Linked DNA regions of Alligator mississippiensis. The protein of the gene in region 2 binds, or shares a complex with, the protein of the main gene of each other region. Links are inferred from orthologs where the notes say so. Each region holds a gene or a part of one and is shown on either strand. Other genes may lie near its edges. The genes, in order: CRYBG1 and PPP2R5C.

The links.
Region 1: the proteins of PPP2R5C (region 2) and CRYBG1 are in contact, whole or in part, in a crystal structure (PDB 6VRO), measured with the Homo sapiens proteins. The link is inferred for Alligator mississippiensis from reciprocal best matches to the Homo sapiens genes PPP2R5C and CRYBG1. Residues at the interface, in NP_002710.2 of Homo sapiens: Lys183, Thr184, His187, Tyr190, Gly191, Leu194, Arg197, Ala198, Arg201, Glu226, Ile227, Ser230, Ile231, Asn233, Gly234, Phe235, Ala236, Lys240, Glu242, His243, Pro265, Gln266, Tyr269; in NP_001358171.1 of Homo sapiens: Pro1136, Phe1138, Ala1139, Met1140, Pro1141, Pro1142, Ile1143, His1144, Glu1145, Asp1146, His1147, Glu1149.

The regions. Positions count from the first base shown.
Region 1 is NC_081824.1:92,636,701-92,640,610, reverse strand, and holds the start of CRYBG1 (beta/gamma crystallin domain-containing protein 1), read right to left. Parts: upstream 3,028-3,910; 5' UTR 2,986-3,027; coding exon 2,795-2,985; intron 1-2,794. UniProt on the Homo sapiens protein: May function as suppressor of malignant melanoma. It may exert its effects through interactions with the cytoskeleton.
Region 2 is NC_081825.1:284,642,506-284,646,415, forward strand, and holds the start of PPP2R5C (serine/threonine-protein phosphatase 2A 56 kDa regulatory subunit gamma isoform), read left to right. Parts: upstream 1-1,557; 5' UTR 1,558-1,648; coding exon 1,649-1,675; intron 1,676-2,284; coding exon 2,285-2,350; intron 2,351-3,910.

The DNA.
Region 1 (3,910 bases), on a different chromosome or scaffold from region 2:
TACCAGAGCCAGGAGGCTTTTCCAATGCCAGGGAAGTTACAGCAGCAGCCAGGTCCTAGTGCTGGTCTGATTTGGACCTGAGCTGGGTCATTCCAACTTACTGACCAAAAATACTGCCATCTGCCCTATGTTATGCTAGGCACTGAAGATACAGGGAAAGACTTTCTTTCCTCCTTTCTGTCTTTCTGTGCTGAGCCCATTAGTGGAGAAAAAGATAATGTGGACCAAGTCAGCTACTATAGTAGTCTGGCAGCTACTAAAAATACCTCAACTGTATTTTATGAACTTGTTTTACTCCAGGAATTCTCCTTCTGCCCCAGGCATAGGATGACTACTACTTACACCTGTTAATACTGTCACTGATGCATGCATAAGGCATGCTGACCAAACATGCAGCTAACCACTTATTTCCAAAGAAAAAGAGCTTAACTTTTTACATCCCTGATTTCAGTGCTATAACCCAGATCCAAGGAAAACTGATGCCCAGGTAAATGCAAATGCTGTGCAATCAGTGCTCTGCTCCCCCTGCCAAACAGTCTTGGGTTCAGTAACCAGTTCCAGTAAAGTCCTTCACCAGTAATGTCACTGAAATTGTGTTTAGATAATTTCCTGGGGAAAACTCATCTATTCCTAAATCACCTTAGTCACACTGATCTCCTAAGTATTTGTGTATGTTTCATGATCACACACGATCAGCTCCAGCAGTGATTCTTAACCTTTTTAGCTCGAGGCACCCCTAGATAGAGGAACCCCATGTACAGAATTGAGGCAGTCCTCATTAAACCCAACACAGCCCTCAAAAAATAGCCAGCCCTTCATTTCCATTCAGTTTTTGGCTAAAGAAAAATTACAGAGCTGTTCTGTTGTGAAGACCTTGGCAAGCCCACAGCAGGGCACAATGGTTTTGACACTACAGTTTCCTCTTGAAAATCTCTAAGTTTATCTTGTGCATCACACCTGTGCATCTAAGAGCACTGCCACTGCATGCCACCTCATGAGGCACCCCAGGGTGCTGCCATAACCCTGCTTGAGAATTACTAGGTTTCAGATGGGGACAAGATAGGGTTAGCTTTAAGAACATAAGAACTGCTATTTACTGGGTCCGACCCTAAATCCTTCTTGCCCCATGCCCTGTGTCATACAGGACTGAGGGGATGCTTTCCTGTCCCTTGTCCATTCTTGTCTCTGGGCAGAATATCACTGGGCAGTGTCCACTGTCTCCTGGGATTTGTTTGAGGGCCAGTGGGTGCTGTTGCATGCGCTCTACTTGGTGTCCCCCCTTGGCACATTAGTTATTAATCTTTGACCATTACTCCCGTCCCTGTTCTTTTATCATTTGCCCCAAGCAATCAGTTGCCACTTTCTCAGTAACCTCTGTCTCTGAGGGGGGCTCATAGTTTCCCGTGGTGAGCTTTTAGCCCACGAATCCCAAAGTGACAAAAAGGCCTGTATCACACAGGCCCAAGGGTCTACTTTCCTGTCCCTTGTGCATTCACATCTCCAGGCAGAGTTTCACTGGGCAGTGTCCACTGGCTCTTCACACTCATTTGAGGGCCAGTGGGCACTGTTCACTGTGCTCTACTCAGTTTCCCCCCTTGGTGCACTTATTTTGAACCTGTGATCCTCACTTCCATCCCTGTTTGTCTTTTAGTTGTCTCGAGCAATCAGTGATATGCCCTTAAGGCCTCCTCCCCCCTCCCCCTGCCCCCATCACCAAGGGAGGCTTAGAGCTCTACTTGGTGAGCTTGGGCCCACGTCACAGAATGGCGTATTAAAAGGTCTACATCACAGAACGTTTCCTGCCCCTCTCCACTCACATCTCCAGACAGAGTTTCACTGGGTAGTGTGCACTGGCTTTTTGGACTCATTCAAGGGCTGGTGGGCACTGTCCAGTGTGCTCTGCCTGGTGCCCCCTCTTAGTGCACTCACTTTGAACCTTTTACCTTCACTCCTGTTCCTGTTTTCTTCGTTATTTTCCCCCAGTAATTACTTAATGTGTACTTTGTAGCCCCCAATATTAAAAGGGGCTTATAGCTTTACTTGGTAGGCAATAGCCCATGTTCTCTATACACATCAAACAGGACCATGTCACACAACACCATGGGGCTGTTTTCCTGTTCTGGTCCACTCGCATCTCCAGGCAGAGTTCCACCAGGCAGTGTCCTCTGGCTCCTTGGACTCATTCAAGGGCTGGCGGGCACTGTCCAGCATGCTGTGTTCAGTGCCCCCGTCCTCTGGGGCACCCGTTATCAACCACTGACCCTCACTCCCATCCCTGTTTTGTCTCCCAGGTGTCCCAAGCAACCACTGCTGCCCCTTTTATGCCCCCCTCTTTTGAAGTGGGGCTGATCGCTCTGCTTGGTGGGCACGGGCCCACGTCCCAGAGCGTGGCCTGGTTACGCAGCAGCACAGAGAGGAGGCTCAAAGGGGGAGCTAACTGGGTCTGACATAGGGTTTGCCTGCTTCCAAAAGTGTGTGTGCACGAGTGCGCTGTCTGCTTCCAAGTATGTGTGTCTGTGTGCTGTCTGCTTCCAAGCGTGTGTGTGTGTGTGTGGGGGGGGGGGGGCCGTCTGCTTCCGCGTATGTGTATGTGTGTGCGTGCTGTCTGCTTCCAAGAGTGTATGTGTGTGTGTCTGCTTCCCAGAGAGAGCGTGTGAGTGTTTTACCCAGGTGGCCGCAGCTCAGGTGTGGGCCACCCACCCCACGGGGAGGCGGGACGAGCCGGGAGCAGCGGCTGGGCAAGTAGCGCGGACAGCTGCCCTGCATTGGGGCCGGGGCACGTCACAGCTCTTACCTGTCCCCGGAGGCGGCGCAGAGGGGCGAGGCGGAGCAGGACGGGGGCAGCCCCTCGCCGTCCTCCGGCGGCTGCTTCCTCCGCAGGCGCCAGGGGCTGAAGGGTGAGCGCTTCCTGGGCTGCCCCGCGGGAGAGCCGCCATGAGGCTCGGGGCGCGCGCGGCGCGGGGGGGACGGCGACTCCCGGCCCATGGTGTGCGGCGGCGGCTGGTCGGCGCCGCCGCGGTGCAGGAGCCTGCGGAGCCCTCCGCCCTGCTGCATGGCCGGGGCACGTCCTCGGGGCCAGCCGCCCTGCCGCGCTCTCCCTGGCGGGTCCGCAGCCGCGGCAGCTCCTTGAGCCTCGTGTCCCCGCACCCCCGCGTGGGTCGTGGCTTGTTGGCTCAAGCAGTTCCCTCCCTCCCGCGGTCCTTAATCCCTCCCCGCCGCCCCAGCAGGTTCCCCGTGTCTTGCACAGGAAGGGAGAGGCTCGCGTTCCCCATTAGCCACCCATTAGCCTCTTGTCCCCGGGCGCAGCCGCCCGCCCCGTCCCTCTGCTCTTCCCAGCAAACAGCCGGTCCGGGGCGCCCGGGGAGAGGGGACACGTCCACTTGCAGCCCTGCTCCGCCCCGAGTTTCACGGCGGCGGCCCTTGTAGTCAGGCAGCTGCTGAGGGAGTCTCTTGACTCCTTTGCATCTACCTCATCCCTGCTAAACATGGGGCAGGGTGTTTTGAAGCCTCCCTCAGAGGCTTTGGGTGTTGGCTGCAGCCCAGGCTGGAGGTTTTAGCTGAGGTGTGTGCCAGTGCACCTGCTGGGCCCGCAGCCCTGGCTAGAGGGTCTCACCCCTTGGTTCAGGTTCAGACCAATTGCCATTTTTAGGGCCAGGAAGGGATTTTACCTCATGGTCAGATTGGTTGAGGAGGGGGGAGTTGCCTTCCTCTGTAGCAGGGGGGCAGGGCCCTTTGCCTGGGACCTCTTGGGCATATGCAGGTTTCCCTCGCCAACCACGGTTTTGAATATCCACGCTTAATATTCTGTATACAATTTTGGCTACCACAGTATACCGATTTGAGTAACCATGGTTTACCGTGGGTGCGCATCAGCCTGCCACCTGCCATTTTCCTCATAAGCCTTTTGTCT
Region 2 (3,910 bases):
CTTTCTGCATCTATATTTGGCCTGATTTATTGAGTCCGGTTTATTCAGCCTGGCTTATTCAGTCCTTCTGCATCTATATTCAGCCTGGTTTAATGCCCCAGGAACAGCAAACAGCACTACATTTTCACTGAACTACTTCTCAGGACTTGATGGCTACCAGCGAAACTATCAGTTAATTCTGTTCCATTGCTGGGGAAAAGCTCAGTAACAGCAAACACGCTGGACTGACGCAGGGACGAGGACTAAAAAAAAATGTTAGTGGAAGTAGGACTGGAAGAGACACGTTAAGTCACTGAGTCTAACCCCCTGCTACATAACCCCCTTCTTAAGTGGATCAAGCTCCATCATAAAATGCTTTTACCCCCATTAGCCCTATTCAGAGGCTACTGTGTAGACACCGTATACTAAAGTTACTCACAGGCAACAAGGTCTTTGGGTAATAAAAGTTTTTTTCCAACTATTTTTTTAAGGAACATTTGGATGCTTATCTGCTGGGATCCTTTGACCTTAGCTGACTTTCTGCCCTTTGGGCAGGGGGCTGGACCCAATGATCTTATGAGGTCCCTTCTAGCCCTAATGTCTATGAAATTTATGAAAAGATATTGAATTTACCACCTTGTCTGCATATATCCTTAGACCAACACAGCTACAGCCTACACCCCTGACAGTCACTCACAGGCACAGCAGAAGAGAGAGCATCCCCGCCCCCAGAAATATTAACACAGGGACTGGGAGTGTGGGGAAAGGATAACGCTGAAGCCAGCTCCTTAGTCCCAGTTCCTTGTTTCCAACTCATCACAGACACAATTAAAGGCTGGCAGCGATGAACTGGACAAGCGAAAGAGTTCGAACGTGACGAGAAATAATCCCAGCCGGATCTCAACTCTTTATTCAGGGCTGCGTACTTGAAACACGACACGATTTCACATTTGTATTAGTAAATATACTAATAAAAAACTTATTAGTCAATATACTAATAACAACAAAAAACTCTTCGGCTTGTCGACCTCATCGCGACCGGTCTTCCATGGCGCGCAAGATCGGCGTTGAAAAAGGAACCGGGAATCAGGAACCGACAACTTCAGCCGCCCTCCCGGGGAAGGGACGGGCAGCAGCACAGCGCCTCCCCGCGCCGAAAGAGCGGAGCAGGGCCGGACCCCTCGCGGCGGCGGAGCTGGAGCTGGAGCCGGAGCCAAGCCGGGCCCGGCCGGGCCGGGCCGGGCCGGGTGCGAAGAGCAGCAACAGCAGCCGCCGCCGCCCCGGGCGCAGACCGCCCCCTGCGCGGGGAAGAGCAGCGCTAGCTCTCCCATCAGGGCGCGCGCGGGAAGCCGGGGGCGGCCGGCCGGCTGCGACCCCGCCTCCCGGGCAAGGGGTGGGGCGGGGCGACCCCGCCCAGCCGCCAGCTCCGGAGTGTGACGTTGCCGCGGGGACCCCGCCCCCGGTGACGGGAAGGGGGAACGTTGGTGCCACGTGACGCGCAGCAGCCAATGGCGAGGCGGCGTGCCAGCCCTGCCGGGCGCAAGGGAGGGGTGTGGGTGGGAGGGGGAAGAGGCCGCGGCCGCCGCCGGGAGCCGGAGCGGGGGGAGCGGCAGCGCGGAGCGGGGACCCCGGAGGCCGCGCCGCTGCGGCCCGGCGCTGACCGCCGGCCATGCCGAATAAAAACAAGAAGGAGAAAGTGAGGGGGGCCGGGGGGGCAGCGCGGAGCGAGCCCGTGGCGGGGAGGGGGCGCGGGCCCCCCGGGGGAGGGGCGAGGAGCTGCCTACGGAGGCTGGCGAGGGACGCGGAGGGGCGTCCCGCTCCCGGCGCTAGGGGGAGGCGGAGCCTAATCCCGGGGATGCTGGCGGGGAGCTCCTTGCCTCAGTTTCCCCGCGAGGGGTGGTGCCCAAGGAAGGGCTAGGGCTGGGACGAGCACAGCCCTGCTCGGCAGCAGCCGGGGCCCCCTTCACCCGCCTCGTGCCGTTATTTCTAATGTCAAAATCAGCCCCCAGCCCCGAGTCTGGCTGCAGGAGGGGAGTCGCAGCATGCCACGGGCCTCAGTTTCCCCAGGGTTTGTGGTGGGAGGTGACTTGGGCACAACCCGCCTCCTCCTCCTCCCTTCAGGGCTGCCCTGAGGTAACCAGGTCCAGCCTGTTCCATCCCTGGTCCGGTGCAAGCGACTTGCCCTAGTTGCCCTGGCTTCATGGGTGAGGCTGGTGCAGCCCCGGGGGGGAACCTGCCTTTTTCCGCCAAGGCGAGAAATGGGGCAGAAGCTGGAAGCGCTGTGACGAGCCTTCTTCATTTGCAGGAGCCTGTGAAATCGGGGAAGAGCGGGAAGAGCGGCAAAGATGGGCAGGATAACCAAGAGCATGAGGTAAATGTCATGAAGGCGCGGCATCTTCCCAAACGTGACGCGGTCTTCCCAGATAATGAACGGAAGGAAGCTGCCTCGTACGGAGCGCGGCCGAGTTCCTGGTGATGGGACGGGGAGGGGACCCGCGCGGAGGTCAGGAAACTATGAAGGTTCCTTTGAGGGAGGACAAGAGATCTGTCGAGCTGCTTGCAACTCATGGGAAACGCTCTCAAGGTGTTTCTCGAATTAAAATAGACTGGGTGGACTTCGTGGCTTGCTTTGTGCTTTCAAGAACCCATCGCTTTTCTTCTTTTGCTTTTGTCTGCCTTCATCAGCTATTTGGGGCATAACTCTTATCCTTGCCTTAGCCTTCTAGTCAGGTAATGGGCTTGCCTTTTTTTTTTAAAGCTGCCTACTCAGATTTTTTCACCTGTTAGTTTATCTTCCTCCACAGTTTCCAAAAGCTAGCATCTAGTTCAAGAGAGCCCATCAGTAGCCTGTTTCAAGCTGGACTTGAATGTTTCTAGTTCGTAGCATCCACCTTTCTGTATCTAATGATTTTGCTTTTTATAACCATCTACTGAAGTGTTTCACTTCTGACTGACAGTTCTGCTATTGCTGCTGCTTTGTTCCTTTTATCATCTTGCTGCCTTGCTCTCAGCTCTGCCCACCAGCTAGGTATGATGGTTTCAAAGGGGTCAATTAAATTGTTACTCACACTCCTTCCCACAGAACCTGAAAACATCCCATTAATAGAATCTCTCTGTTTGGAAATTCCAAACCCTGTAATGTTTTAGTGAGTTCTGAAATTCCTTAAAATACATTCACGCTAACCTGAACATATACTTTCACTGAAAAATCCCATGTCTTCCATGTTCCATGGGTGTGTTTGTTATGTCTTTGCTCAAAACATTTCTTTGCTGCATTATGATGTAAACAAACTGTTTGCATTTTTATCCTGCAGAGCAAGTGCTCTATTTGTAGGGAGCTTCATTGAGATTTTATCTGTGTTGCAGATAAAAATATTGTATAAGGTGCATCTTACCAGTATTAGTTTATTCATAGCAAACTGCTAAGTAACCAAATCATAAATGCTCACTGATTAATCTGCATTAAGTTTTGAAATTTGGTCAAGGGAAATAGGCTTTAACAGTAGCTGAAGTTTCTCAATATGAAATAACATTTGCAATAGTTTGCAATAATTTCATTTTATAAATACTCAGTCTCCCCTGCTTGAGTTGCCTAGCTTCAACTTAATTGTATGACATTTAAAGAAACACTTTTTTTTTTTTTTTACTAGGGTTGCACTTCATTAGCAATTATGACAAAAAAAGGTTTTTAAAATCAGTGTCTTTATAGTATATAACTGGACTAGTTTATCCAAGTTGCCCTTATAGAAGAGATTTCTAGGAACTTTTTAATTGACACTTGTTGCTGAGATCAGCTTTCATTTTTTTCCCAATTACTGTGAGCAAACTATAACAAGTTCTCAAATTTTAAGTAAGAGGTGAGAGTTTCAAACACTGAATAGCTTGCATGTGTGGTTTGTTGTGATTTCTTACTGTATTTGCTAATCAAATT